Struthio camelus: one gene and its partners. Each later gene encodes a partner of the first gene's protein in a complex. Links are inferred from orthologs where the notes say so. Each region holds a gene or a part of one and is shown in the gene's direction. Other genes may lie near its edges.

The links.
Region 2: ARID1B (region 1) and SMARCD3 share a complex: the UniProt entries of both Homo sapiens proteins name them as parts of the neuron-specific chromatin remodeling complex. The link is inferred for Struthio camelus from reciprocal best matches to the Homo sapiens genes ARID1B and SMARCD3.
Region 3: ARID1B (region 1) and SMARCC1 share a complex: the UniProt entries of both Homo sapiens proteins name them as parts of the neuron-specific chromatin remodeling complex. The link is inferred for Struthio camelus from reciprocal best matches to the Homo sapiens genes ARID1B and SMARCC1.
Region 4: ARID1B (region 1) and SMARCE1 share a complex: the UniProt entries of both Homo sapiens proteins name them as parts of the neuron-specific chromatin remodeling complex. The link is inferred for Struthio camelus from reciprocal best matches to the Homo sapiens genes ARID1B and SMARCE1.

What each region holds. Positions count from the first base shown.
Region 1 is NC_090944.1:78,519,932-78,527,427, reverse strand, and holds the start of ARID1B (AT-rich interactive domain-containing protein 1B), read left to right. Parts: upstream 1-4,489; 5' UTR 4,490-4,625; coding exon 4,626-6,467; intron 6,468-7,496. UniProt on the Homo sapiens protein: Involved in transcriptional activation and repression of select genes by chromatin remodeling (alteration of DNA-nucleosome topology).
Region 2 is NC_090943.1:136,321-143,836, reverse strand, and holds the start of SMARCD3 (SWI/SNF-related matrix-associated actin-dependent regulator of chromatin subfamily D member 3), read left to right. Parts: upstream 1-4,503; 5' UTR 4,504-4,735; coding exon 4,736-4,813; exon of another isoform or gene 4,814-4,826; intron 4,827-7,516. UniProt on the Homo sapiens protein: Involved in transcriptional activation and repression of select genes by chromatin remodeling (alteration of DNA-nucleosome topology).
Region 3 is NC_090943.1:1,277,911-1,285,559, forward strand, and holds the start of SMARCC1 (SWI/SNF complex subunit SMARCC1), read left to right. Parts: upstream 1-4,649; coding exon 4,650-4,928; intron 4,929-7,649. UniProt on the Homo sapiens protein: Involved in transcriptional activation and repression of select genes by chromatin remodeling (alteration of DNA-nucleosome topology).
Region 4 is NC_090966.1:7,066,627-7,074,453, reverse strand, and holds the start of SMARCE1 (SWI/SNF-related matrix-associated actin-dependent regulator of chromatin subfamily E member 1), read left to right. Parts: upstream 1-4,823; 5' UTR 4,824-5,216; intron 5,217-6,212; 5' UTR 6,213-6,256; coding exon 6,257-6,263; intron 6,264-6,854; coding exon 6,855-6,898; intron 6,899-7,827. UniProt on the Homo sapiens protein: Involved in transcriptional activation and repression of select genes by chromatin remodeling (alteration of DNA-nucleosome topology).

The sequences.
Region 1 (7,496 bases):
ATGGGTTGAGCTGATATCTCACCAAGGACAGACTTAAGAGCTGTTTTTCCTAGAGGCCTCAGTCCACAGAAGCACTTAATCAGGTCTTAACTTTAAGCAAGTGAGTGATCTTATTGACTTCAGTGGATGATTCGCATTTGTAAAACTGAGGTATTCAAACATTGTATTCAAATGGCCTAAAACCAGCAAGGAAAAAAATTGCTAATGTTACAATTCCATGATAAAATAATACATGACATTCTTGAGATGGAGATGGTGATGTTTCTAAGTCCTTTTGTTTACACATTGCCAGAAGAAATTGATTACATTGCCCAGAATTAGTGTCTGCTAAAGAATAGATTTTAATTACCTGGTAGAACGTGTCACTCTCTACACGTTTTAGGCCACAGTCTGTTGGCGTACACTGTATTTTTTCATTGTCTATTATGACCAGCTAAAATAAAATTATCGCACTTACATATAGCCTTTACACCTAACTTAACAGGTAGGTATCCACTGTAATAGCTTACATATTACATTCATGTCTGAAATATAAAATAAATAACATACGATGAAGAAAATATTACTTTGCTATATATTGACCACATAAGGGTCTTCTTAAAAGGAAAATCGCATTACTATAGCACCAAATACCAAGCTAAAGCATAAAGCTAAAGCACTGACCTGGCTACATACTTTTCTGTGATCTGATTTATGCCTCCTTATTGGAATCAATTAAAAGATTTGCACTGACTTCAGAATGATTTGGATTGGATGTTTAACTAGTAAAAGACGTGATAATTTAATAAAATCTCAATTCTCTCTTTTTTTTCTCATTAAACCTAATGCCAATCTGAAAGAAGGAAATTGAGAATGATGGTGAATTTGACAACTGTTTCATCTAACTGCACAGTGAATTTAAGCATACAGCACAACCAGAACCAGACAAAAGGGATTTTTGCATGAAGGAATTTTTCTGACCTTTGTGGGTATTAGGTCAGATGCAACAGGGTCTTGATGCTCTGACTGGATTCTTACCTCACAGAAAAAAAAAAATCAAAAAGCACAATATTGCTGTTTATTCCGATATCTCTAAAGGTAATAACGCCTCCATGCTGTTAAAATATTGTTTTATTTTCTGTATATCTCTTTACCGTTACTCTTTATATGATCTAAAAGCCACTGTTCTGACCAAACAGAAAGATGTTTGCCTTACTGCTGTGAAACGCATCTAACTTCCATACTGGCAAGCTATGCACAGACAGCTTAGGGTGTCTGTATAAATGTCATAGTCAATGTAATAAGTAAACAACAGTAAGTTTAGACAATTATATTGTTTATCCTGGAAAGTTATCCCAGAACACAGGAGTTTATAATTTATCAGGAAAAAATCAAGAAAAAGAAACCATGCTTAGACAATATTGCATTATAGAAAACAATTAAATTGAAGAAACACTGAAAATTGAACTAAAGTTGAAACTACGCACTTGCGATATTAAATATCAATGCAATCATTTTGCAGCAGATTATATGCATGACAATTAGAGCTTTTTTTACATTCTATTACAATAAATTCATAATTCATACATATAATGAGAGCTTTTGGAAGGGAGAATTTGAATTTAACAAACACTACCACTCATCATCTGAGCAAAGATGGCAAAGGGAATTTCAACATTATTTGTGATCTAAAAAATTGAACCATCGTTGCTTTGTGTTGTGCTTCCCTTGCACAGACTGCAGTGCCTTCTGTCTGCTTTAGGGTGTGGCATCTGCCATTGGGGAGGAAAAACTGGCATGTGTTGCCTTTTATAGCAGACTGATTTCATTGTGCTGAGGGCCTCAATTTTATAGCCTCTTAGATCCAATCTCGTAGCCAGCCTCGTTGCTGAAACAAATGGAAGGAAAAGGAGTTAGTAGCATAAACTCTTCAGTTTCTAAGCTTCATCTTTTTTTTTTTTTCTTTCCCAGGAAAAACGTCTTGAAGTAAATCTGCGTTAAAACTTTGTGGCTTATTTTCCTGTTCAGAAAGAGTTGTGGACTATGTCAGGAAGTACTGCAGTCCTCAACGGAGGCACGGTCAATACATTTATCAGATTTTAAATATAAATATTTTTGCTTGGATATAAATGTCGCAAAGTATAAATGTGTAATTGATTTTTTATTTTATTTTAGAGTACACATGTAAATAAATACACACAAGTAGACATCTATATTTATATTTGCATATGAAAGACTTCAAAAAATCAACTTATGTGGTTTAATGTGTATAATTAGTGTGCGTTTGAATATAGAAAAGAAGAAAATCCAGGAGAAAATGTCAAAAAGGCTCACTAACAAAGATGTAGTATTCTCTTGGCAAAAGCTGATGAATGATTTGGCATGAATTCATCTTACAGTTCTGTTATTCTCTCTCCTACAAAGATGATATACCCCTTTCTAGCAGTTTGCATAGAATTGCAATTTGTTGTTGTTACAGACTGTAATGACCCTTGGGTATGCACCTGATTCTCCCCACTAGAATTACTCACCGTTTTTTTTCCCACTCTGTTTCTACTAGCCATATAACATTTTCGCACTTGCACAGAGTACCAAAAGAGAAAACGAAGAAAAATATGATTGTAATAGAAGTATTATCAAGATGTACTTGATGAACACTGAGACTTTAAAAAACTAACTCCCTAATGGAAATCAGAACATAGCTGACTTTTTCAGACAGAGCTAAAATGAATAGACACTGGAATCACACTGTTTGCACATTTATCAATAATCTTTGCATGTAATTCAACATTAGAGCATGAAGCTTCTGCTCTTTAATGTTTTCACAGTGGATATAAAAAAGGCCTACCTACTTGTGACAGCATCTTTCTTGGTATACTGTATTTTTCTCTATCATTCCTATTGAATTTCCTATTTATCTATTTTGAAATTTGAAAGCACGGTCATCTCTAACAGAGCACATAGAACAATTCATTTAAAACAGCGTATTTCAGACCCTTGCTATATTGAAAACATTCATTAACGTCCCAGTTTGCTATGTTTGTGCAGAATATTTGATTTTCCCACTGCTTTTCTTAGTTGAATGTAGTGTATGACTACTATCTTTTCTAATGCTAAGTTATTATTAAGATAGTTATAGAAACCCCTCCAACACATTCTGAAAGAGTGTACAAAAATGTAGGTCAGCAGCAACAGTTTAGCATTTGGAGCAAAAGTTACTTTGATTACATATTTTGTATTACTAGGTTTTCATGAGTGCTTTGTGCATACTAGAAATTATATTGTTTGGGGAAACAGTTATGAGGCTCAAAACGTCTCACTCCCCTTGACCAGCTCCTGTTGATCCGCAAATAAGCACACAGAACATACTGAAAAGAGCCCTATGTATAAAAGCATCATCAGTGCAATGACCATTAGAGTCTGGAGGCAGCTGGGCAACGTGGCCAACTGCAAAGATGCTACTGCCGCAGAATTTTGGGTTACATTTTATAACCCTTTGCAAAAAAAACAGAAATCTTCCCGGGGGGGGGGGAGGGGGGAGAAAAAAAGCATCCTATTTTTCCATGAAACGGATGACAGGATTTCCCTGTCATCCGCGTAAAATGAAAATGCGTTTGCGCGGCACATCCCGGACTCAAGGGCAGAGGACTAGAGCCTTTCAAAGTTTGACCCATTTATTTCTATGTATTTAGCGCAGCCAATCTGGGCACCGGCAACGTGCGGGCTGCCCCCGTCTACCCGGCCCGGCCGGGCCCGACCGCTGAGCGCCCGCGGGCAGCCCCGCCGGGCCGGGCCGGGCCGGGCCGGGCGCCTCAGCGCGGCCGCCTCGGGCCGGAGCCGCCGTTGGGGCGAGGCCTCGGCCGACATGAGTCCCGCATGGGGTTGCCTCCTCCGCGGAACTTGATCCCAGAGCCGGCGCCCGGCTCCAGCCCTGGGTGCGCACAGAAAATGACGAAAATAAATAATAATAATAATGAAAAAAAAACCCCACCAAAATCTAAGCAGGGGCGCGAAGGGGGCCGCGCCCCCCACTCCTACCGGCCGCCCGGCCCCGCGCGCCCGCCCGCGCGTGCCGGCACCGGGGCCGCGGCGGGCAGCGGCAGCGGCAGCGGCAGCGGGAGCCGGCGCCGCGCCGAGTCCAGTCCGCGTTTTGCGAGTGCGCGGGAGCGCTCGGCGCGGAGGGGGCGATGGCTGCTGGGGCTCGCTCGCTCGCTCGCTCGCTCATGCCATGCTGGGCCAGATAGGCTCAGTCAGACGTGTATTTACCCATATCCGGGTTAGGGAGGAAAAGAAAAAAAAAAAAAGTTTCATTTAAACCTGAACAAAAAAACTTTCAACATGAAATCACACAGCAGGAACAGGCACAGACCGTAAGGCATTCTTACCATTTCTAATCTCAATCACGGACTCGGGGAGGGAAATTTCTGTAATTTTTGTGCGTGTGGAGTGATCCGCAGGGGATACTGTTGGCTCAGTTACGTCTCTTTCCCCCAGCCGTTTCTCTTTTTGCCCCTCTCCTCTCCTTTCCCTCCCCCCGACTGGCCCCCCTCCCCCCTTTTTTTTGGAGGGTAAGGGGTTTTGTTTTGTTTTGTTTTTTTGTTTTTAATTCTTACTACTAATAATTTCTCCGGACTTGCAATGTTGCAATGATCATGGCCGCGCAAGTCGCAGCGGCTCCGGCGGGTGCGAACAACAGCAAGGGCAAAGCCCCGAGCCTGCCGGGCAGCCTGGGCCCGGAGCGGGGCCCGGGGGGGGCCGGGGCCGCCGCCGCCGCCGCCGCCGCCGCCGCCGCGGGGGCTCCCGGGCCCGGCCCCATGCTGGGGGTCGGAGACGGGACTCCCACCGGCGGCAGCAGCCTGAATAATGTAGATCACCATCTCCTCCAGCACCACAGCGAGCCGCTGAACATGGCCAATAACGCAACTTCTGCCGCTGCCACCGGTAACAACAGCGGCGGCGGCGGCGGCGGCGGCTCCTCCTCGGAGCCGGCTCTGAAGGAAGGTGGAAGCTCCTCGGCGTTATCTTCTTCTTCTTCTTCCTCCTCCTCCTCCTCCTCCTCCAACCCGGGCCCGGCCATGGAGACGGGGCTGCTCCCCAACCACAAACTGAAAAGCGTCGGAGGCGATCACCCCGCCGCGCCGCCCCACCACCACCACCACCATGCCCACCACCCGCATCACCATGCCCACCACCACCACCACCACCACCACCATGCCCACCACCCGCACCACCACCACCATGCACTACAGCAGCAGCTAAATCAATTCCAGCCGCCGCCGCCGCCGCAGCAGCCGCCGCCTCAGCACCATCCCATGCAGAATAACAACAGCAGCCTCGGCGGCGGCGGCGGCGGCGGCAGCGGCAGCAACAACAACGGCGGTGGCGGTGGCGGCGCTGCTCAGCCCAGTGCAGACATGGAGCAGCAGCAACATGGAGGAAAAGACAGTGTTTTGGGCACTCAGGCCGAGCCCCCGCAGCAGCCGCAGCAAATGCTGAATAAAAGCGCCGACGAGGAGGAGATGCCCGGCAAAATGGGCGAGCCCATCGGCGGCCGCTACGAGCACCCCGGCTTGGGACCCCTGGGCGGACAGCAGCAGCCCCAGCAGCCGCCCCAGAGCGCTGGGAGCGGCGGCGGCGGCGGCGGCCTCGGCGGCGGCGGGAGCGGGGGCGGCGGCGGCGGCGGCGGCGGCGGCCCCTCCGCGGTGGGTGTCGCGGAGTTCAACAGCTATTATGGCAACGCTGCCCCCGCCGCTGCCGGCAGCGCCACGGCGAGCCGCGCCGGGCCTTGCTTTGATCAACATGGCGGACAACAAAGCCCCGGGATGGGGATAATGCACCCCACGGCGGCCCCCAACAGCATGGACCCCCTGCAAAACTCCCACGAAGGTTACCCCAACAGCCAGTACAACCACTACCCGGGCTACAGCCGGGGCCCCGGCGGCGGCGGCGGCGGCGGCGCGGGAGCCGTGGCGGCGGCAGCGGCGGCGGCGGCGGCTGCCGGGGCAGGCGGCGGCGGCTACGGGGGCTCCTCGGCGGGCTACGGGGTGCTGAGCTCGCCGCGGCAGCCGGGCGGCGGCATGATGATGGGCCCCGGCGGCGGCGGCGGCGGCGGCCTCGGCAAGGCGGCTGCCGGCGCGGCGGCGGCGGCGGCGGCCGGCGGCTTCCAGCGATTTTCCGGGCAGAACCAGCACCCGTCCGGGGCCACCCCTACCTTGAACCAGCTGCTCACCTCCCCCAGCCCCATGATGCGGAGCTACGGCAGCAGCTACCCCGACTACAGCAGCCCCAGCGCCCCGCCGCCGCCGCAGCCCCAGCCGCAGGCAGCGGCAGCCGCCCCGGGCAGCCAGCAGGCAGCGGCGGGCATGGGCATGGGCAAAGACATGGGCTCCCAGTACGGAGCCGCAAACCCGGCCTGGGCAGCGGCGCAACAAAGAAACCACCCGGCTATGAGCCCTGGAAACACCGGGCAGACCATCAGCAGGACCCAGGTAACCCCCCGCGCGGGACCCGGGACGGCTCCCGCCTCCGCGCGGCTCCTGCCCGCCGCTTAGTTGCTGTACAATTCACTTTTCTTGCTTTCTTTACTCTTTCCTCCTTCCTCCCCCCCCCCACCTTTCCTTATCTTTCTTTCTTTTTTTTTTTTCTTTTTCCCCCCTCTGGGCCAATTCAGCTACTCGCTGCCTCCGTAGCCGGGGCGAGCGGCGCACAATACGCGGCCCCAATTAGGCTGGAGGCATCGGAGTGCTGGTTTCACTGCCGAAAATTAGGTTGTTCTGAAACCCAATTAACAATTTTCCCTCCACTTTGAAATAGCGATGCAGAGGCGCAGGGCCCAGAGGAAAAGCAGCTTGGGACGAAGAGGGATTTGGTAACTAGAGTGTCAGACCCAGTGGGTTCTTGGAGAATAATATTCATTATCTTACAGCAGGGCCTTTTTTTTTTTTTTTTTGGAAACAGGATGAGTTGCTGTGGAGCATGCTTTTAGCAAATTAGTTTGTCACTGATGGAGTTACCGCAGTGAAATCCGCTGAAAACAGCCGGGTTCCTTTTTCTGTTGGAAGAGTGTGTATGTGCGTGTGTGTGTGCGTGCGTGTGTGCCCTGTGTGTATGTATATGCGCCGTAGTCGTAAGGGCTCGTGCGATACGCATCGAGGTGCGTGAAGTGCTCTGTTCTCGTGCGTTAGTCCAGCAGCCTTTACAAGAGTGGCACGGCGCTGAGGAGCGTGCCCGAAGTGAATACGTGCACGAATAACTGTGTTTTTTCTCCCCAACACGCACGCGAAAATCCGTAGGCGGTGGGAAGACCGCAGAGGTCCTTCGCGCGGAGCAAACGGGCGCGGGGCGCTGCGAGAGATCGCAGCGTGGCCCTGACGGACGTGCCGCATCCCCGACGAGCTCGGCCCGATAAGTCCCTAAATCGGTAGGGAGCGAGGCGGTGCCGGTGGAGTCGCGCCGCTGTAGGTCGCCGCTCTGCCGGCGCCCGGGCCGCGGGGCGCGGCGGCGAGGTGGTGCCCGCT
Region 2 (7,516 bases), on another chromosome or scaffold:
TTATCACAGCAGTGCTAGTTCCTCAGCACTATTACAATTGAGCCATGACTGCTTGTGCCATGAAGAGGAGGAAGGATGGGAAAGAAGCAGAGATAGAATGAGAAGAGGAGAAAAAGAAGAATCTATAGTGTCATTGTCACTGCTTCTGCTGTAACCAAGGGGAAGAGAGAAGTGAGGCAGCATTCACCACTAATGCTCTTATGATTTGTCTGCTTATTTTGTGTGGGTGTAATAGTGTTGATTCACATTCAGCTTATGATCTGTTACGATCCCCAAATATTTTTCTCAAAAACTACTCTTTAGCCAGTCGCTCTCCATCTTATATTTATGTAGTTGATTATTCCTGCCTTGATGTGGAACCTTGCAGTATTTCTTATTGAATTATGCCTGGTTTTTCAGACTACTTCTCCAGCTTCTCAGGATTTTAATTTCAGTCCTCTCTCCTAGTACACCCCTACAATTCGCCCCCTAACTTTATGCTGCTAGCAAATTTAATAAGCCTGTTATCTTGTTTGTTATTGAGACTGTTAATGAGAATATTGAATAATTCTGAACTCAGGACCTAGTTGCTATTTCTTTCCCCTAGCCTTTTCTTTTTCTTGAAAAAACATTATTACAATAAGCAAAGGTTCAGCCTTGGGACATTTTCTGCCTGATTTTCAGTACTTTTTCTATGGCATATTACATCAGTTCTAAAACTGTAGAGAATATTTTACCTTTCAGTGGACAGAGCCCTATTGACTTGAGTGAAAATTGGATGAAAGAAACCATGCCTCTTTAGGACAACCAGCAGTTTTATCTACTTTGTTAATCACCTGTAGATCAGAAAATTGAAGGCAGTAACAAACATATCATCAAAAAACACCACCTTATCTTTTCAGCTTTTATAGCCTGATCACTATAGTTTAAAAATATTAAAAGCTTGAATAATAGCACAGAATTTTAAAAAAAGAAAAACAAAGCAAAAAAACAGGTTGGACAGAAGTGGCCTCCAGAGCCCCAAGAAGAGGTGCGGAGGGAGAATTTCAGGCTTTCCTTGAAATAAAATGAGTTAGGAATATAACACAAAGGGAGCCTGAAGGGAGGATGGAGGGATTGAGGGAGCTCCACAGTGTGCTCAACCTTTAAAAACTAGTAAAGGAATACAACTATTCTAGAGTCAGTCCCATGCTGCTGACGTGCTAGACTAGAAATGTCTAGGAGCTGCCCACATAGTTGTAGCAGTTGGGGAAGATACTTGGGTTGAACCAGGCACTTTTTAACATACTTACTTTCTACATTTTCTGAGAAAACATGTGGGGAAAATAGAAAAAAAAGAACAAATTTAAAACAAAAGTATTTAATTTACAAAGTCAAGCAGTTGTAATTTGGAGGAATTCATTCTTGCACTGTACCCCTCATCCTTTTGTGCACATGCATTATACACTAGTTTTTCTTAGAGCATTGTAGTGAGTGGAAGAATCACAGGAAATGGGTTTAATTCTCAGCTAGGTAAGGTTGGGCAAGTCACTTCCATTCATTTGTACCTTAGTTTCCATTTGCAAAAAAAAAGCGACAGTTATACTGACTTCTTTTCTGCAGCACCTTGAGAACTATCAAGTGCCAAGAGCCGAGTTTTATTATTACACGAGCATTTTTTTCTCCCTCAGGACTTCTACTTACTCTGTCTATGGCAACAGTGAATCTACCATCTCCTACTTTTCAAGTGTGGTTGACCTTGTTATCTGATGTTCTTTTAAGGAAATTTCTTCATGTAATTCCCGTGAAGAACATCCAGCTAGAACACAACTCATGTTGTACTGTATCGCACTGAAATTCAGTAACACTTCAGCATAAACCCTCCTGCTGCAGAATGCAGCAAAGACTCCTACTGAGGGAGATGGGGCAACTGTAGCTTGTTGCTACAAGCCGCAGCCGCAGCGCGCACCTCCTCCTCGCTCGGGCAGAGGCGCCTGCCGCGCCCGCGCCCGCAGCGGGAGCCGCCCGCGGGCTGCCGCCGCGCCCCGGCTCCGCCTTGCGCCGGGCTGGCGAGCGGCGAGCCCGGCTTCCGCGCCGGCAGGGAGCGCCCCGGGCCGGAGCGCGCTGCGGCGGCCGGGCCGGGCCGGGCCGGGCCGGGCCCGCGCGGCGCGGCGCGGCGCGGAAGGGGTTAAGGCCGCGCTGCCCGCCGCCCCCGCCCGCGCGTCCCCGCTAGGCCGCGGGCTGACCTTCACGGCGGCCGCGCCGAGCATGCGCGCCGCCGCGCCCGGGGCCCGCGGGCAGCCCGCCGCCCGCCGCCGGAGGCCCGGTTCGGCCCGGCCCGGCCCGGCCCGGCCCGGCGCGTCCGCTCGCCCGCCCGCCCGCCCGCTCGCTCGCGGCGCGCCTGGGGCCGCGGCTGGCGCGCGCCCTGCCCGTGCCGGGCGCGCCGTTGCCATTCGGTGCCGTCGGTGCTGGCGGAGGAGCGCGGGGGGACGCGAGGGGGGACTGCGCGCCGCGCCGCGGCCCGGAGCCGCGCCCGCCACGGCGGGGGGCTGGGGCGGCCGCCCGGGGCCAGGACCGTCCCGCTTCGCGGCGCCGGCAGCGCGGGCGGCGCCGGGCCGGGCCGGGCCGGGCCGGGCGGCCGCCGCGAGGCGAGGGCCCGGGGCCTGGCCGGGCCGCCGGGGCCGGGGAGCTCGCGCCGGGGTCTTCGGCCGCGCCGGAGCCGCTCGGAGGCCGTCAGCCCGCGTCCGGCAGTTGATGCCTAAAGCCTCCTGCGAGCCGTTCTGCGCTTAGGCATGTTTCAGCTGCTTGTTTGTACTGTTCTCTCAGAATCGGGACTGTAACCCAGTTCCCCTCCAGCAATGGCAATAGCAACACCTGCACAAAGACACGTGTCAGTAATCCCACTGCAGTGAAAGCTGCGGCACTCTAGCAAGCGCAGCAGCCAACAACTGCTGTGATCTCTAGGGAAGAAACAGCACATTGTGCTGGGAGCAGGGGAGAGGGCTCGCAAGACAGGAGCTAATGGCAGTGTGTGCTTTGGGGAACCAAAAGGCTGCAGAGACGCAGGCCCGTGCTGGCAGCGCACAGTGTGGTTCCAGATAAAGTGCGTTTGATTCAAGGCAGCCAGAAGCTCAGGAAGGGTTTTTGCACAGAATAAGGCCATGCTGCTTTACTGGGCGTATTCCTCGTGAACAGACTAGGCTGAGGGGGGAGTGGGAACAGGCAGCAATGCCTGCCGTCCCAAAATTCCTGTAATTCCCATGGGTATCCCCACAGAGTAGTGCTCAGTTTGGGGTCACCCTGAAAATCAGTGGAGGTCGTTGCCTTCGTCCCCACGTGCAGAGGGCTGTGTGATGTTCGCGGCTTGCTGTTCACTGCCAGCTGATTCTGTGTCTTCTCTGTGCTTGCTGTTAGTACTAGTTGAGGGCAGACATTTATTTATTTAATTGTTTCAGGTCTGACTCTCTTCTGTTCGTGGCCTTGCTAGAAAATTCATAGCCCCTAGACAAGAATTTCAAGCCGAGGAGTAAGATAAACCCCTCTCGCAGCCTGGCAACAGTCCTCTGTTGCTGTGGTAGGCCGACGGGAGCCATCAGGCCTGGCCAGCGCAGGCACGGAGGAGCTGTCAGCCGGCAGATCGCCGCCCGGGCCGCCGCCACCCGCTCTGCCATTACGGAGGAGCTGGCGCCGCTGCGCGGAATGGCCGCCGCTGCACCTCAAGCCCGGCCTGAGCCGGCAGCGGGGCAGCGCAGGGCCGGGGCCGACGCGCCCCGCTTTCACCCCCCCAGGCGCGGCGGCGGCGGCGGCTCCGCGGCCCCAGCAGGGTCCGAGACCAGGCGCCTTGTCGTGCGCGGGGCTTTGTGTGAGCGGCAGCAGCCAGCCCTGACGCGTAATGGCAGCCGTGGCGTTAGCAGTGTCGGAGTCGGTCAGCCACCTGGGGTCTCTCTGATGGCCCCGTCACGGCGGTATGGCAGCGGCCCGAGAGCGGGCCGAGGGGAGGCTGCGGGCGGGCAGGAGCGAAGCAGGCGCTGCGCCCCGCCGCCATGCTGCCCCCCGCCCCCTCCTCTGCTGCTCTCGCACTCTTTCTTTCCCCTCGCTCTCACACCACGTCCCTCCCTGTTCCCAGCTTTCTGCCTCCTGCTGTTTCTCTCTCTCGTCCAAAGGGGTTAGTTCTCAGTCTCATGTGCTGGAAACGCTGCCAGTGAATGTTTCTGTGTGCTGCCTGCCAGGTCTCTGGGGAAAAGGCCTGGAAATGCAGTGCAGGAGGAGCAGTGGGAGCAAGGGAAAACCATTGTTTCTCACTGCTTGCCTGCTGCATTTTCTAATGGGAAAAGTCTCTCCGTGAAGCACTGAGTTTATGTCATTGCTGAAGTTGCCCCCTCCCCCTTCCCCCTTGCCCCAGAATTTACCATCCCCTTGTGCTGAGGAGGAGAGGTTGCAGCGCTGCTACTAAAAAGCTGAGACGTGTTTTCAGTTTGCCTCCTGCTTATCTCTGGTGTTTGGACAGAGAGGTTTAAAAAGCTGGATTTTCTGTCCCTGCAGAGTAAACACACAGAACCCGGCAGCACAAACTATTTCTGGCTTATCAGTGGAGGAATGCAGCAGCTGAGGCTTAGCGCGAGTGGGCCGTCAGGAAGGCCCTGAAGGGGCCCCCTCCCCACTCCGCGCTATTAGAAGTGTGAGAGCCCAGCAGGACTCAGAGGGGAGAGTTGGAGAAAAAGGCAGAAAAGGGAAAGAAAGAGGAAGAGAGAGAGTGAGAGAGGCTGAGCAGACCCTGATGGCTACAGATGAAGTTACAGGAGGGGCTCGCAAAGCTACGAAAAGCAAACTTTTTGAGTTTCTGGTCCATGGGGTGGTGAGTCGGGAAAGTTAGTGAGCTGGCTGGCTCTGAATAGAGGGATGAGTGGAAACTGGAGGCTCTGTGCTGGGCTGGATTGGCTCCTGAAACGTGCTCTTGGGGCACTGGTAACTGCCTTGCCAGGAGAGCACCGGGGTCTGCAAAGCCCCCAGAATATGTACTGATTCATTGATAATACAGGCTTGTGTCTGGGGGGATGTGTGCTGTGATTTTTGCTTTGATTCTCCATGAATAGTGAATAGTGAATAGCGTTCTTTTGAGCCTGTTCACAGTGCAGAATCTGCACTGGATCTGACCCAGATGGGCTTGTAGGACACTTTGTTCTGTAATCAAACTTGTGTTTTGAAAAACAATTCTGATGAAAGCCTGATGAAGCCTTGTGGTACTGCCTCTGGTTCTTGTCTCCAGACTTGGCTCTTATGTATCCTCTGGCTACTTAACAGGTGACTTTCAGGGGCTTGAAGAGATTAGCTCTGCAGATCTACAACAGTCTATAGGCACTCACCCACAAGAGAATTTCAGGGTGCCATGGTTAATTAAAGGAATCCTTGAGGTCTTTAAAAATTTTCTAGCTTTTGTTTAAGAATCGGATCTTCAGTCTCCTTTTAAGGGGAAATGCTAACCCCTGTTTTACTGTCATTGGAGACCGTGTTTTATAGATGACTCTCAAACGGTTGAATGCAGTCACCATTTATAACGTGGATTTCTTATATACATTTAACAACAACAACAAAAAAAAAAGATTACTGAAAAGTCCAAAAGAATGCAGATATTGTTTGGTTACCAATAGTCCTGGGTGATTTCTCTCTTGAGGATTCTGGCACCTTCTTGTGACATCTTTTTGAAGACATCAGGTGGAGGTTCTTGTGCAACAGTCATAGAAATCTGGGGAGCTCACTGCAGGCTGCAGAATTGTCTCTGTAATTCAGGCTTACTCCAGATGCATAGAATCTAGCTGGTGACTTGCAGATCCTGGATATGGTGAGACCTGCAAGGCCAAGGACTTCTAGGTGGCATTTTGTTTTTGTGAGAACAGTGAACAGATGACCTGGTGCCAATGTGCAGGAGCAGTCTGTTGCTAGATTGGCAGATGTACAGAGACAATCAAATAGCTGGTGTGCAGGTTTGTGGCAGTGGTTTTGTTGTGGACATGTGGAGTCATTAAGATGTTCTGGCTCAGGATTACTATAGCTAGGATGGCTATAGTAAAGGATGAAGCATAGGCAAAGTGGGAGGCGTTGGCATGTGGAATGCTTTTCCCTTTTCCCAGGAAAAGGCATTCTGTTTTCTACTGCATTTGCACACCAGCAAACTTCCTTCAGTATCAAGAAGAGTGGCTAAAATAGTTACGTGAATGTGTTTCTTCTACATCTAGCTGAGCATGCTGTCCTCTTGAGCACTGGAATTTTTAATTTATACCAGAATGAATACAGTAGAAGTGGTTTCCATTAGTTATTTGGATACTAAGGAAATCTGACTTGCACTGGGAATTGAGCCGCTAGTGGCATCTTACTTGAATATCTGCATTTGCATGAAATATCTGCATTTGTATGTCATCTTCTTCCTGTTAGTGAGGCTGGGGCTTCTTGTCTGTTATTCTCTTGCCAGAAACGCTTCTTGTGTGACCCTGCCCTTACCTCCCCTCTCCTCCCCTACCCTCCATGATGATCTTCTTCAGTTTGGCTTCTGCTTCCTTATTTGTTCTTTTCATCAGTCTCTTCCTCGTCTCGGGTAACTTTTGATCAAAGCACAAGTTGAGGTAGTCAGTCTTCCATTATTTAAAAAAAGAGAAAAAAAATCATACTTCATTTTACTTCTTCAGGTCCTATGTTCTCCCAAATAAATGAATGTGCCATCACAGCTGTTGCCTTGTGTTCACATCTTGCTAGCTATTCAGTTTTATTACCACATACAGTGTGGCAGCATTTGAATTAAGTCCTTGAAAAATGAAACTTTATCAGAATTCCTTGGAGTCAGATTCTACTCTCACTTCAGGAAAAACCTCCTCTTCAAGTTATTTATTTTGTATTTTATCTTTGTACTTATTTGATTATTGCAGGCATTATTTTTTTGGCAAAGATAGGGGGGATGTAAATAGAGGTAGAATGTTGTGAGAAAAATTTTTGCTATGTGAACGCTTTAACGAAAAGGAAAATTTGCAGCATTTCCTGAGGGCAGTTAGAATTTGGATTCACTTGATCTTGCTGGAAACATATTCTCCTTTGCTGAGGTCACTTTGCCCTTTGCTCTTGGATACTTCATCTTGCCTTTGTTCTTCTTTTCCACGTTGCCAGCTTAGAAGGAGTCTTCTTCCCTGTTTGTCCCATTCAAATGGGACACCCCTGTAGTATGAAATATCTTAATGGTTAAACAATCTTAAGGACAATACTTTGTCCTCATTCTGCTTGAATTTTTGATAGTTTGTTATATCTCTGGTTAGCCCTTTCTTATGTAAACAAGGTTTGTTTTTGTTTTTTAATTTTTTTATAATTGTCTTATTCCCATTTTGTTTCATCAGGGTCTTATGCGTTGTTTCCGTAGGAGGAGAGAAAGGTTTTTTTTTTTCCTAAGGCTTCATCCTTCACTTTGTCCTTTTTTTGCTCTCTGCTCTATTTCTATGCATTTTTATGGATAAACATGGCTTTAATGACCATCTTTAGGCTGATTTATCTCTTTATTGATGTGTTTTCTACTGTCCAG
Region 3 (7,649 bases), on another chromosome or scaffold:
TTCTTGACTGTGAGGGTGACAGAGCATTGGAACAGGTTGCCCAGAGAGGGAGTGGAGTCTCCTTCGCTGGAGATATTCAAAACCCATCTAGACGTGATCCTGGGCAATATGCTCTAGAGGACCCTGCTTGAACAGGGAGGTTGGACTAGATGATCTCCAGAGGTCCCATCCAACCTAAACGATTCTGTGATTCTGTGACGTGATCCACAGCCCTGACTGCAGCAACTACCCCTGGCCCATCAGAGGCCTCTGTTGAGATGGAGCTCCCAAAGGAGGACGCAGCACTGCACAGAGTGCCTGGTGCTGAGGCTGGGGCAGAGGGAAAGGCCTGCATGTCCCTGCCTGCAGGAGGTGTGTGCTGGTGGAGGAGCTGTGTCACCAAGTTAAGGAGATGCAGGGGGGAGGTCAGCTGGCTGTGCAGCCTTAGGGATGACGAAAAAGCGATTGACGGCTTTTCTCTGAGACCCTGCAGCTACAGGCAGAGTCCCTGCTAAATCTGTCTGACACCTTTCATAATTTCTCCTTTAACGTCTCAACTTCCTTTGGGACTCCCCATTATGAGAACAGATGTATCTTTGCAGTTGCCCTGGTTGTGTTTTGAGTTAGAACTGCTTCCACCTGTTGGGTAAATTTGCCAGCTATTACTAGCCAATACTTGTTTCTTCATGCAGTTTGGGGGGCAGGGATCCAAAAGACAACATACAAACACCTCCACAGTCCAAAAATCATCTTGTGGCCCTATTATCTTTCACTGCTTTTGTAATGGTTTGTTGGCTGTACAAGGTAGGTGGTTCTTAATTTATGTCTCCGCATCTTTTCTCATCTTAGGCTGCCATCTGCATCCTGCAAGACTGTCAGTGTTTCGTCTATTTCTAAATATCCTTGATTATAAATTAGTACTACCAACTCTGTTCAGGCAAGTTCAGGCAATACCAACTGCTCCACTTTTCTTTTGTGCCAGTACTGAGTCTTCTTTCAACATGTTCCTCCTTTTAATCTTCCACTCAGTATGGAAGCTGGGTCTTGTGCTTACAGTGAAAGCAAGTTCAAGATCTCTCAAGACTGGAAGCAGACCTCGAGTCTCTACTGTCACCTCTTTGCTAAGGGATGCCAGCATCAACTTGGCTACCTTCAGGTTACATACAGAACTCTCATTAGTCTTCTGTGCTCAGATGCTTCATCAAGGTGTGCACTGTTCACAACGCCACTGAGCATAATCCAACCAGGTAAGCTTTTTCACGTGCTGTAAATTTCTGTTCTGCTGGGGTTACAATCCTCCATAGTATGGGATGAAGTGAAGGACCACGATCCTGTGAGCACTGACGCAGCACCCTGTGGGATGCTGAGCAATTGTAGCTCTCCCTTAAGAGAGAGGAACTCTCTGCACTTCTGCCTGCTCTGGTCTCCCTTCCCATGAGATATTTTCTTCGTGAGATCACACAGCAGGGCAGCTTTTTCTGATTAGCCTTCTATAAATTCCCAAGAGAACCCTGTTAGGCTCAAAACTGACCATAAGGCAGTTCTAGATATAGGCACCCAATTTACTCCCTAATCACCTACCTCCACTGAACCTCTCAAAGTTTCCACGCAAACCTGAGCTTCAGTTCACAAGTCACCTGCTTGTACTGTGAACTCTCCCTTTGCTTCCTCTGGTGTTCGCACACTTAGACACGTCCTAAAACAAGATTATCGCATCCTTGTCAACTGTCAGCTAGTCTTGAAGTACAGCTCTTTTCTTAGTCTTGTTTGCAGGCTTGAACCTTTTTCCCTGCCACAGGCAGGGAAATGATGCCACTGCCAGCATAATGGTCAGCACGCTCAGATTCCTGGAACGCCTCAGGTGACCGAGCGGAAAGGACACACTTCTGGAGCACAAACTACTCGCTCGGCTGTCCAGGAAATCACAGCATTTGTGTTGTCTGCCAAGCATGACTGAAGGCGGTCAGCAGGTCCAACGCTTAGAAGGTTTGGGAACGCAGACAGGAAAAATGACTGAATAAGCCTCGTTTCTTTAAGAAACTAGGCTAAAAGCTAGTTCTCCCTACCCTGTGACAGTCAGCGAAATCATATAAATCAGAGGGGTAAGCTAGTCTACACTCTCAAAAGACAATTCAGATTAGGATAAGCAGGGACACTCTAAATTTGGCAGAATGAAAAAAAGGCAGATAATTTGAGATGTCTGGAGGCAGGGCCTGAATAACATTCCCCACGTCCTTGAAATCTCAAGGTTCTTACATGGCACATCAAAAGTCTCAGTTTCCACCAGATAAAATACTTGATTCCATACTTTTCCACTTTCAAGGCCCATATTAATCCTATTCCAATCTACCTAAGAGAATGAGTCTTAACAGCAGAAACCTATGATTACAGGGCAGGCAGACCCAGATCTCCTTCTCTAACGTAACTAAAATACAAACGTTTTCCTTAGTTTTCACAGTCATAAACATCAGAATCTGAATTCATTTTATTTCTTCGGAGAGCTTTTACAAAATATCAGGGCACATAAAGTTCACTGAGGTACAACTATGTCCTCCTCCCTTCCCCTCTTCTTCCCCCTTTCTTTTCTTCATGCTTACATACTTACACAAGTATGTCCTATATATCAGGATTCCAAGAGAGGAGGAACTTAATAGCAATTATGACCTTAGGAATTTCTGCCCCCCAAAAGATTTTCTACTCCTGTGCAGCAACTCATCCTCCTGGAGTTGCGTGAATATGGTTTTCTCTAGGCCATGCTGCGAAGCCATCCAACACTAAACTGTCGTTAAGTGACTCAGACTGCAAAACCACATACTATATCTCCCTATAACCCATCCAAGGAACTACTCGAGATTATGATATTTTTCTCTTTTGTTTCCCTCCGTACATGTCATTCTTACCCTTTCCAGCAGATCCAGGGAACGGCTTCCCTTTCCAGCTCAGGTGCAGTAGCGAATTAGAACAAAGAGCCATCTGTAAGCTTAGTGCTTGACAGCTTATCATCACATGCATACCCTGTTATTTTCAGCAGTATAATCATTGCGTAATGGGGAGATCACAGGCTTCAAACCTTTTTGAAGGCTGAGGCCGTTTTCCGGTCTTCCATTTCCTTCCCCCCTCCAACCATTATTCATTTTAATGCCGTTTTTTCTCTTCTGTGCAAAGCTTTAGCCACCGAAGGAACAACGCACACAATCACGCTGCCCAGGAATGATTTCACTGGCACTAACACTCCACCACATCCTGTGGTAACAACTAGAGAACAAAGAGCCTGGGCTGGTGTCCGAAGGCTGAGACATGCCTGCTCATTTCAGCTCTGCCGAGGAATGCAAGAACTGTCCTTATAGCAATGGGCCAACTGTATTCAGAAATACAGAAGGGAAAAAAAAAACAATAAACCTGGTCACATCTCTGCAGCAGTACCTCGGGATGAGATGTCCTTCAGGTATCCCATACAGAGGTCTGATGCTTTGCTGTCCGCTGCTCCTAAGACAGAGTAGCAAATATAAGAAGGTAAACGGCTCCCCAGACATCTCTTTCCACAGCAGGATAATACAAACAGCAACAGCCAGGCTGATTTATTTCTCATATCAGCAGAAATCTACTGCCATAACGGTGGTGTCAGAAATTTCAACGGCCACCAGCTAGCCCAAAGATGAGTGTCAGGAGGCATTTAACAGAACAAGTTTAACTTCCCACTCTATACATCCAACTCCTCTCTACCGGGATAAGAGATTTAAAAGGAGCTCACATCAGAGCTGCAGTCTCCACAGCCACAGGTAACCTACTCAGGAGCTCGGCCCAGCACAGCGCGACAGCAGCAGAGGCTGAACCACGGGCAAACGACCCGAGCCGCGCCAGCACTAAGGACGACACGTCCCAGCAAACCCAGGGACCCCACCGCCGCACCGCTCGCGCAGCAAGGAACCCGAACAAGCGCCCTAAGCGAGGCGGGAAGGCGGCCGCTCTCTCAGCACGCCCTCAACTTCGCGCCTCAACCCACGGCCACTTCTTCGGACCGGCACCGCGCGTCACCCCCCGCCCCGCCTCGGCTCGGCGCTCTCAGGCCTCAAGGCCGGGCTGTGAGGAAATGGCGGGAGCCGCGGCCGCGCTGAGGCGTCACCGCCGCGCCAACGGCCGCCGCGAGCCCCTCTGAGGCGGCGTCGCCCCGACAACGGCCGCCGCGAGCCCCTCTGAGGCGGCGGCGTCGCCGCGCACGCGCACGCGCGGTGGTGGGGGGGAGGGGCGGCGAGCAGGGCTGCGCGCACGCGCCGAGGCTGGCCGGAGGGGGGCGGGTAGGTGATGGTGGTGGTGGCGGCGATGGGTCCCCCTGCGCGCATGCGCCGAAGTCCGGCCGACGCACACGGGGGGGGGGGAGGAGGAGGAGGAGGAGGAGGAGGAGGAGGAGGAGGAGGAGGACGGAACTCGGCGCATGCGCCCCGAAGCGGTGGCGGCGGCCGGCCGTTTGGGGGGGAGGGGCGGCGAGGGCGCAGGCGCTGACCGCGGCGGAGCGCGGACGCCCAACGGCCGCCGCGGGGGCAGGGAAGGAGGCGCGGGGAGGGGGGAGCGGAGCGGAGCGGCGCGCACGCGCACGCGCGGCGGCGGCGGCGGCGGGGGGCAGCGGTATTCCCGAGCATGCCCGGCGGGGCGGGGCGTGCGGGGCTCGACGCATGCGCGGAGTGAAGCGAGTGGGAGGCGCAGGGCCGCGGTGGCGGCGCTCGGCGAGGGTAACAATGGCAGCGGCGGTGGCGGCGGGCGGCGGCGCCGCGGGGGCCGGAGCCGCGGCGGCGGCGGCGGCGGCGGCAGCGGTGGGTGCCGGCCCGGGACTGGCGGCGCTCTCGGTGGCGCGGCGGAAGGACGGCGGTCCCACGGGCAAGTTTTGGGAGAGCCCGGAGACGGTGTCCCAGCTCGACTCGGTCCGCGTCTGGCTCGGGAAGCACTACAAGAAGGTGCGGTTCGGCTCGGGGTGGGGGGGATCCCGGTTCCGATCCCGGTTCCGGTCTTGGCGGCGCCTCACAACGGGCGAGGCGGCGGTTTAACGGTCCCGCGGAGCCCGCTCGCCGCGGCGCGCGGGAAAGTCGCCTCAGGGCGGCCCGGCGAGGGGGGGGGGCCGCGCTCCGCCGCCGGCCTTTGTCAGCCGCCGCCTCGCCGCCGGGGGGGTGCGGGCTCGGCCTCAGCACCGAGCCACCCCTCTGCGGAGGTTTCCGGCCGGTTCAGGCTGGGTGGGGAGGTGGGGAAAAAGAAAAAAAAAAAAAAGGGGGAAAAAACCCGACATCCCCTTGTCTTATCAGAGCTGTTTTCGCGGAGTTAACGCGTGCCTCGCATCCGCGTTTATACCGGCTGTAGCTGCAGCCGTAACTTTTCTTGTGGAGACAAGTCCCTAGAGCGGCTTGCCAGGATGTTATATTAGGTTTCGTTTAAGCCGCACCCCTTAAGCGTTAATGGGTTTAAAAAAAAGGGGGGGGGGGAAACAAGGCTGCTCATGCTGTTGGTAACTGCGTGTTGCTAAATCTAATGAAACGCGACAAACCAAATGCTTGCTGCTTTGGTTATGGCTGCTTCACTTCCATCCAGGAGCGCCGTTGCTTGCTGTGTGTTGTCCTTGCACCCTTGTTCCTCTTCCACCCTTTGTTGTGTTCTGCTTCTTGCCTTTTTTTTTTTTTTTAGGTGTTTTTCCTGTTTTCTAGCTTTCCGTGCAATTCCTTATACATAGGTCGAGAAAAATTGGCTGACAGTAACTTTCCCAAGGACAGATGTGTGTGTCTGGACCGCCTTGTAGAAATCAAACTGAGTGTGCTTTATTCTTTGCTGTCCCCTGAATCTGTGGTAAATATAATCTGTCTTTTCTTCGGGAGGTCTGGTTTAAACAAGCATGGGCCAGTTTACCTCTTGTTGCTCCGCTGGTGCTGTTGATTTGATTATTTGTGCGGCAGCGCTCTGAAACGCGTGTGTGAACTGATCTGGGTTTAAAAATAAAAACACAACATGGTTAGAGGTGTGTTTTACCGGTCTTTCTGCGTATCTCTTTAGAGTGCAGCCACATAGAGTTGAATCAGCGCAACGGGGGACCAGTAATAATTTGAGTGAGCAGCTTAAACTGTGTTGATAAAGAAATAATAGTGTAAAACGGTGTCTTTAGTTTGACCTTTTATTGTTTTGATTGTGCCTTTTCCACTGTTTCTAGACTTTTGAGGAGGAACGTTATTTCGTTTTGTTGTCGTGACGGATTATCGACAAGATTATAAGAAGTTTCTTGATTCTGAAATGGCTTAGAACTGGCATGTGCCACTTTGCTGATGAGCTTTCCCAAGTCGCGTTATTTTAAGCGTTAACAGTTATTGCTAACTCTACTCGTCCCTTGCTGTTGTCAGTGAAAACTATCTAGATGAGTTAGTGCTCACCTTACTGTAGCCTGGCAGGGCTCTTATCTGTAGTACAGGGATGGGAGCTTTCCTTTTGTAGATCGAAGCAGAACTCTATGTTATAATTACTTTATACTTAATTGCTATTACTGATTAGAAAGATTAGATGCTTATATTTACTTCTTAAACTCTGGAAGGTAAACAGAACTGGCCGAAGCAGACATCTGAAATTTACTTGCCCAGTACGGATATTGCTGTATCAATTCCTTGAAAAGTAAGAACAAAAACTAGAAGTCCTCCTTGTTTTGTGAAACAAGGAAATTGGTTATTGGTACTAATGTTTAAAGATAACTCTAGATGGAATCGGTAATTCCTTTTTAAACTGTAGCTAACAGACTTGAATTCTTCTTGGGAAATGCTGCTTTGTATAGTGGATACTTCATTCTTACTCTTGTTTCCTGTAATTCAGGTGGCAGTTTTGCAGCAGGTATGTCGTATTTCAGAAGAGTACTTTGGGGATTACAAGTGACATATGCCCATCATACGCTCTTAAAAATTGCTATCTATACATCTCTCCATTGGTAAAACCTTAACCTGTAGCATTGTGTCCAGCTCTGGAAGCCCCCAAGGAAATTGTGGACCAATTGGAGGGCATCCAGAGAACAGCAAGCCTGATCAAAGGTCCAGAAGTCATGATGGGCAAGGAGTGAGTGAGAGAACGGCGATTGTGCATCTCTTCCTTCTTGTGTATTTGAAGACTTGCCTAGAGACAAGTGCAAGACAGTGATGTTCTCCGTGTCTCTAGAGTATAGCTCAAAAAGCAACAGGTTTAAATAGTAGCGTGAAAGACTTGCACAGACTCTTAGGAAACCCATTCCTCACAGTTTATAGGGGTTTTCTAGACAGTATGTTGAATCGCTATCAGTAGAGATTATTGGTGATAAATTCTGTTAGGTAATGACGTGGGTATTGTAACCCTGCTCTGCTGTTAGAGGACGTACTGCTTTCTGAGGAACAAGCTTTTGAGGCCTGTTTCTTCTTCCTAGCTAAAGTGTTGACAGTGAGGAAGGCCCTTCCATTGATGTACAGAAAGACAGCGTGCATTGGGAGTTTGTGTTGCGGAGGGGAGAAACAGCTGATTGAGTAGAGGATGCTTATAAAGATGGAAGGAGTACTGGGGATGGAGTATTAGTGACACCAAGCATAATGACAGAAAACAAAATTGTGTATTCCGACCTTCTATGTCCTTCCCTCTTTTTGTATGTGTGATATATGTAACTCTTCTTGCTCCCGTTCCCTGTGTTGAAA
Region 4 (7,827 bases), on another chromosome or scaffold:
TATAACTCTTTTAGCCATACTAAGTAAAATTATACCTTTGAACTGTTCAAATTTAAGGAGTCAATCAACCACTTTTAATAATGGTATCTATCTCACATATCATAACAACGTGAATTAAAACAACTTCAATAAATCCCTCCTTTGAAAAATCTTATAGGTATGTTATGCTCTTGATCTAGTACGTATAACAAATCATTATTATGCCAGGGTACACCTATTGTAGCTTCACTTAAACAGACAAAGTAAGGGCTCTTTGTGTAAGGTAAAATTCTGCCATGTGTATTAGGTACCGCCGTCACTTTTCAAAGTAGCTTTGGTCAAATACAAAGTACAACAGATGATCTTACCTCTTTACACAGGAAAAATAGAAATAAAACTCAGACATATTTTCTTTACGAGGTTATGAAACAAATTTCAAACAAAATTGTATTAAGATATGAACGACTGCTGATGACGATTTTTAAGAGGAACTGATGCCACAAACTAACTCAGTCTAAGTCACTGGGATTGCAGGGGCTCGGAATCTAGGAAAACCACATACAATATTTACTAGATCCATGGTAGCATGTAAAAATTTCTTTTAAGTGTCAGTAATTGCCTTACTACTTATGGCATGTGTAACAAAAACTGATACTGCAAATTTTTCCAGTACTGAGTTATGCTTCTATCTTTTGTTAATGGTACAAACAACGCATTTTATACTGCCCATGGTTCTGTATCTACTGTATAAAGCTGACTAAGTATCATTAACCTTAATATTGATCTGGTGTTGTTAATACTTGAGTATTTGGCATCCTGAATGTAATAGCCTGCCCTCGCATTTTCACTATGCAGCTTTTTTTTGTGCTTATACTGTGTACATTTTACTATACTTGAATTTGAACTAAGTTTTAATTGCTTTAAGGCACTTTAAACAGGGATATGAATTTACCAAAGTAAATGATAGCACTACAACAAAAAGTAATAAAACTGAGTTTGCCCATGCTTTTTTTGTGAGTTTGGCATATATGTCTCAAGAAGAAAGGAGTAATAGAAAAATAGAAAAACATACAATAAAAGCAGTTGATAAGCAAATCTGTAGCACTGCAGCTGAGTGTTTTTTAAAGCTCTTCTCTACAATTGGTAAGACCCATATTCCCTAAGAATCTTTATCACAACATGCATGCAGGGTGTGTATTCTTCTTGGACAACAACAATTATTCTTTTTTGCTAAAATCCAGTAGCCCTGACTACATCTCAAGTCCTTTGTTCTGAGCTCTGCACACAAAAAGAAGACAGACAGCATCTGGCATACACACTTTACCATCCAAAAGACAGCAGAGAAGCAGAAACAAATAGCAAGTACGTACATGCCTTTTACCACTGGGTGTTTGGCTTACTCTCTGAACCACAATACTTGTGCTTTTAGCTTATCTAGTGCAACTCTAGATTTTTCACTAATGCTGGAAGCCTTCCCCAGCATAGTACAGAACTCATATCTGACCCAACCCTGCAATGCAATGTACGCGCTATTTTGAAAGAGAAAAATTACTGTTTAGATCTAGAGTAATCAACTTGGCCCGGGAAACTGAGTACATAGAAAAAAGGTTGACTTTATTGATACACGTTATTTTGTCCGTATAAGGGCCTCACGGGTTCTGAAGCCATTTCCCCGACTTTAACAACCGTACAACTACATCATGAGCTGTCCCATGAACGAGAAATTTATTTTACCCACGTAAGTTCCCATTATATGCCACTGAACTCAATTACTCATAAAATACACAACTCCTGGTTGATGTTTGAAACAACTGGGTCAAACCCCGTTATAATGTTTTATATTTACAAAAAGTGCCACTGAGAATGCCATGCGGGCATAGGAAAAAGCAGTATGCACAGTAACATCTTGCCCTGATTTCAGGTCACTTTAAAGTTGAATTTAAAAATGCAATATTGAAGCCTAATACTATGGCAAAGAATTCTTCACTGCTAAGATGCTAATTAAATTTAGACAAGCTGGGCTATTACCATCTAACACCTGCAAACGTCTGCCGTAAAAATGAGTTTGATTGTCTCAACCTACTTGCCACTGAATATATGTCCTAATTACAAAGCTTAAGAAACTGTTGCTAACGGAAAAAACAGAAGTCTCAGAAGTCGGATAAGAGCCAACTATGTAGAGCCCGTCCCCCCAATTAAAGAGGATGTTATATAAATAATTTTATTACATCAGTAAAACTACTCATGTCATGCAGTACATTGCAAAGTATACTACAACCTCTGATGCCAGAAACTGTCCTCCTCAGCTAAGTGAAAGGCCATGGTATGACTACAGATGACTTGGATATCCAGGTCTACCAATCTAGTAACTGATTCATATGAATAGCAAAATGAAAAACATAAAACATAAAGCAAGCAATATATTGCTAATTTTGAAAATATATATAAATGATTCGGTTCTATGAGCATGGACAGTGATTATCAGGAAGCATACATGAAAACCATATGAAATATTTCAAGCTGCATAAATTTAGAATTGACCTCATCATTTTAAAATTTCTATGCACAGAACACAATTACACCTTTCTTGCCAAAACCATACCAAGTTCTGAATAGGAAGAATGAAAATGTCATGCTACATGCAATAAATGTATCTTTCAATGTAACTTCAAGGCATTCTCACTCAGCTGAACACCTAAGGAAAATAAAAGGCTTTTGAGTCTCAGCGACAGGTGCAGTCGTACAACAAACTCCAACCACTTCTTCAAACTCCTCTTTGTCTCGCTCCTCACATCTTAGTTTTCCTAATCATTTTTGTCTACTTGACTGAATATTTGATATCGCTAAAATTTAATATTTGAAATCACTGAATATTTGATATCACTGAAATTAAATTTGAAAGCAGTGTCTTGTTAGCAGACATCCGAAGGTTCCTGCTAAATTCAAAGCATTAGCTCTATTAACATTTGACCTGGGAAAATGAGAGTGGAATTTAACTAACTGTCAAAGAGGACTATAGATGTTAGCAAGAAAATACATAAACTAGAACGCTGCACAAAGTGTTGATGCAGAAAGAACGAACAGAATAGCCTTTCACGAAAAGTCCCCTTTGCCTAGCAAGTGCAAAGGTCAAAGACATGCTACTGGTCAGCGCTGACTTCGTTCTGGGCATATACAAGCGTACAGCGTATAGAAACAGACTCTTAATAACTACTTACTAGGAAACTGTCTTAGCATTTTATCAGCAAAATCAAGTTATTAATAAATTACAGAGGAATGCATGAAGCAGTCACAGCCAGGAATAAAACTAGGTTATTTTTAACAAGTATTTTCTCACCTGTTCTTCACAAACTTCTATCCACGTGAAACTGGTGGACTAAAAAGAGGCTGATCTAGCTGACTATCTGAGGAATCTTTGGATTCTTACATTCTTTTAATTACCAAATGGAAGTTGCAGATTATTCTATTGTTCTTCAGCAAATTTCCACCGTGGCCATAGATAGCATACTGTAAGCAGATGAGGGCAGAATCATTGTCTCTGTGTTCACAGAAATGTGCTTATTTAAGAACAAACTTGTTTAGATAAACAGTGCGCATCAAGAAACGGGCCTAACTTGCAGTAACACAGGATCCTATTCAGTTAGGTTTTTTTCAAAAAAACAAAGATGTTTCTGCGTACTGTCTTAGCAGGAACATCCACTGTTTGGCTTTCCTTCAGATGCCATATCGCCAGGCCCACCCAAATCTTCCTTCATAGGTGTCTAGAATTTTATCTTATTAGCCATATGACAGCATTTCATTTCCCAATTTTATATTTTTATTTTGAACTCAGTCACTTTAACAATTTTCACTGTGCAAAACCATCATATGTGGAACACTGAGGTCTGAAACTGCTCTGCTCCTCAGACATTCAGAGCTGCAAGGTGTATTGTGTTCTGTATTTGCAGGCTTTTTACCTGCATATATGATACCTTTGCATATTCATGCAGTAAATCGTTCCGGATTACTTCAGAGCTCCCTAGTTCACAGTCTTCTATGACTCAGCTGCTAAGTACTTGAGCTGGTCAGCCCGATATAGTCCAAAATTAAAGTTTGCACAGATTTATAATTATTTCCCATAGGCCACATGTTTAGTCTTCGCTATGCTCATCATCATGCGGTTCTTGCAGGCCGACCTGTTTCCTCTAGACCTTCTTTTGCCTACGCCCTTCCATCGACCCAGAAAAATCTTGTTTTTCCCTCACAGCACCTTAAGCAAGAGCAAACTTTGGGCTAAATTCCGTTGCCGCTCAGCTTCTCTTCAAAGCCATGCCCCTCCCGGACCGTGGCTGCAGGACGGTCCGGCCCACTCTAGACACACGGCTCCTCGGCGCTGCCGGGACAGGTCACCTACGCTCCTTATCCCGCTCCTGAGAGACATCGAGGCCCCGAGGCTGTAGCGCAGCAGCGCCTCTTCCAGCCGCTCCCCCTCCCCCTCCCCTCACGGCCGTTTGCGCTGCGCCCGGCTCTTCCCGCTCGTCTCCTGTCCCGTCGCCGCCGCCCCGCGCGGAGGGACTCGGCCCGGCCCGGCCCGGCGGCCGCGCTCCCCCTCTGAGGCGACGCGAGCCGAAAAGGCGCCAAATGGCCGCCGGGCGCGTGGCGGGCGCGAGGCGCCAACGGCCTCACCTCCCCCGCGCCTGCCTGGACGTTCTCAGCCGCAGATTCGCCACGCGGAGACAACGCGGCAACCCGGCCGCCCGCCCCTTCCGCTCGCCCGCCGCGGACCTGCTAACAGCGACCCGAGCGGCGGCGGGCGCTACCGAGCCCCAGCGGAAGGGCGGGAAGAAGGCTACGCTGGGTGTGGAAAGTGCGGAAGGGAACGCGAGGCAGGCGGGCAGCCCCGCCGGCTGAGAAACCACCCCGCTGGGGGAATGGCGGGGCGGGGCGGGATGGAGCCGCGCCTGCGCGCAGAGCCCGGCGCTGCCTTTACCCTCTGTGTGCCGCAGATTCGCCACAATCCGCTCCGGCTTCCCTTCCTCCCGGCGGGTTGCGGGCGTGCGGGGAGGGTCTGTGCCCGGCGGTGACACCGGAGGGGAGACGGGCAGCGCAGCGGCCTCTCCGGTAAAGCCCGAGCAGCAGCCGCCGCCGAGGGCGGGGCGGAGGCTCTGCGTGTGGAAAGTGCCGAGGCGCAGGCGCGGCCCGCGCGGCCTCCCCCAGCCCTGTGGGGAACAAAGGGAGCGCGGCCGGGGCCGGAGCCGGTGAGTCGGGGCGGCGGGGCCCGGCCCGGAGCTCGCCCGGCCCGGCCTCCTCCAGCGCGGGCTCGCGGCGGGGGCAGGCCGAGGGGGTCGCCGAGGCCTGGGGAGCCGCGGGCGGGAGGGGCTGGGAGGCGGCAGGCCCGGCCCGGCCGCCTCTCGCCACCGGGCGTTGGGGGGCCCTGTCCTGGCTGCGCTGCCTCCGGGGAGGCGCCGGGGGTCCCGCCCGGCGGCGGGGGGGGGGGGTCGAGCGGTGCCTCTCGGGCCGGCTGCGGGTCTCCCGGGAGCGGGCACGGCCCCGTTTGGAGGCAGCGGGAACGCTGGGCCGGCTTCAGAGACCGGCTGCTCCGTGGTGCACGCAGGGGCCTTTCTGCCCCGTTGAACTTCGTGAGCGTTTCGGTGCGAAAAACGAGGAAAGGTCAAAGCGAAGACCGCTGTGCCGTCACGTAGTGCCAAAACGGGCCTAACTTCTATTGAAATCTTGATGGACTTCTTCTAAGAGGAAGGCTGAAAGAACACTGCTTTATTGCTGTGTGTTTCCCTGACACGCTTACGAGCTTGATGCTGAATGAGATTAAATCTCTCACATCCCATAGCCGATGCTATGAAGAACCCTATAGCTTCTATCATGTTTGGTGATTACTTTTTCCTGTTCCGTAATGGAAATATTTAGTGAGGTCGCTCATACATTAAGACCAGGTTTCTGAAGCAGGCTGTGTAAAATAGTGATACGTATCCTTTTTATTGCTTAGGAAAAAAGTTATACTTAAAATCTGTATCATGGAGATCACATAAACCTGAATCACAGCTGTTTAAGGCCAAACTCCTTGGAAAGCACATTCATGTTGCAATAATATATCACCTATAGTTTTCAGAAACTTTGTTTTGTTTTTGTTCCAAAATTTGCAAATCTTCTTTAGTAATTAATGGTAATTATAATTGAAATTTCAAAGAGTTGGGAAAGCTTAACATTTAATAGCATAATATTCTTTTGTTTTTCAGAATTACAAATATAATGTCAGGTGGCTGAAAATTTGCCTATCAAAATGTCAAGTAAGTTTTCAGATTTTTCTTCCTTTAATTTGGTGAATTAAAGATCTGAATCAGCAAGAACCAAACTGTGAGATAATTCTGTCATTCCTTGTGTGAAAAGGAATGATTCTGACCAAACTCTTGGCCTTAAATCTTGCTTGTGGCTGATTTCTGGCATCTCAGGTGTGATTGGACCTTAGCCTGTTCCTGCTTATTTCTAAAGCATACTATAACATATCAAAGACTACTTTTTGAGTACAACTCTCTGTTTCCATAGACAATCCAGATATCAGTTTCTCCTAAATGATGTTTCACTACACTTTTGCTTACCCTCTTTTTAACTGATCTTCATTTAAATATGTTTTATAGTCTTTAATCTTATGTCTAAATAAAAGGCTAGCAATCTGGCAATGGCGTGGGATTTTTTTTCTCCTCTCTCTCCTATCCTTTGTTTTACAATCTTCAATGACATAGTGGAAAGTAAGTCTTTGAGGCCAGGATCTCTGTCTGTCTTCTGTAAATCTTTGAAGTGTTTGGGACTCTGGATGCCTTATAAAGAATTCATTCGCATTTTCAAGAAAAAACTTTCTGCTTGCATTTATCTTTCAACAGAAAGGCCATCTTACGCCCCACCTCCTACCCCAGCTCCCGCAACCGTAAGTATAGTGATTTTTCTCATTAACACAGATCTGGTGATATGGCCTTTAATAACTTACCACAGCCCTGGGTCGGAAATCATATTCACAGCTTGTGTTGCAAAAATATACTGGAATATTTAAGAACAGACTGATATACACTTAATTCTAAAATTTCATGCCCAAAGCATGGGCAAAGCACTATGTGTTTTGGTGTTTCTGTGGTACCTACCTAGCTGACTTTCAGTGGAATGCAGGGGCATGCAAATCTTTGTTATATTGGCTCAGAATAACAAAACGTTCATGATGACAGTCTTATTCAAACTTCTTGAAATCCTTGGTATTTTTGGTCTGTTGCATGAAAAATATTTTACTGTACAGTCTGGAATGACACTTACAGAAACATGAGAGGTGATTTTGAATCATGTCCAGTTGTGTACATTTAAAAAAAAAAAAAAAAGGTACTGAAATACCAATGTCCTGAGGTCAGAAAAGCACCTGAAAGCAAATGAATCTTATGTAGCATTTGCATTTCTATAATAGCTTGCCTTTGAGGATTAATGCATTGACATGAGAAAGTACTAATCTTGTGCAAAAGAGAAAGTAAGGATGCTAGTGAAATTACTGACCAAAGAAAATTTGAAAACTGTTATCCAGTGTTTTTCGTCTGTGCCTCTGGGATGAAAAGTGCAGGATGGGATCTAGATGAAATGTAAAGTCTGGCGCAATGAATTTAAAGGATCACATTTAAAAAGGCTTGGAAATGCTATATTGTATAAACATAGATTGTTCTTAAAAACTTATGAAAATAAAATATTTTACTGCTTTTGGCATAGTTTGTTCAGAGTTTTCATTTTGCACACAGCTTTATAGATTGTGCGAATATTACAAAAACTATGATGGTATCTGCTCTTATAACTGGATTCCTGCATTGAGAACCAGGCATGCAC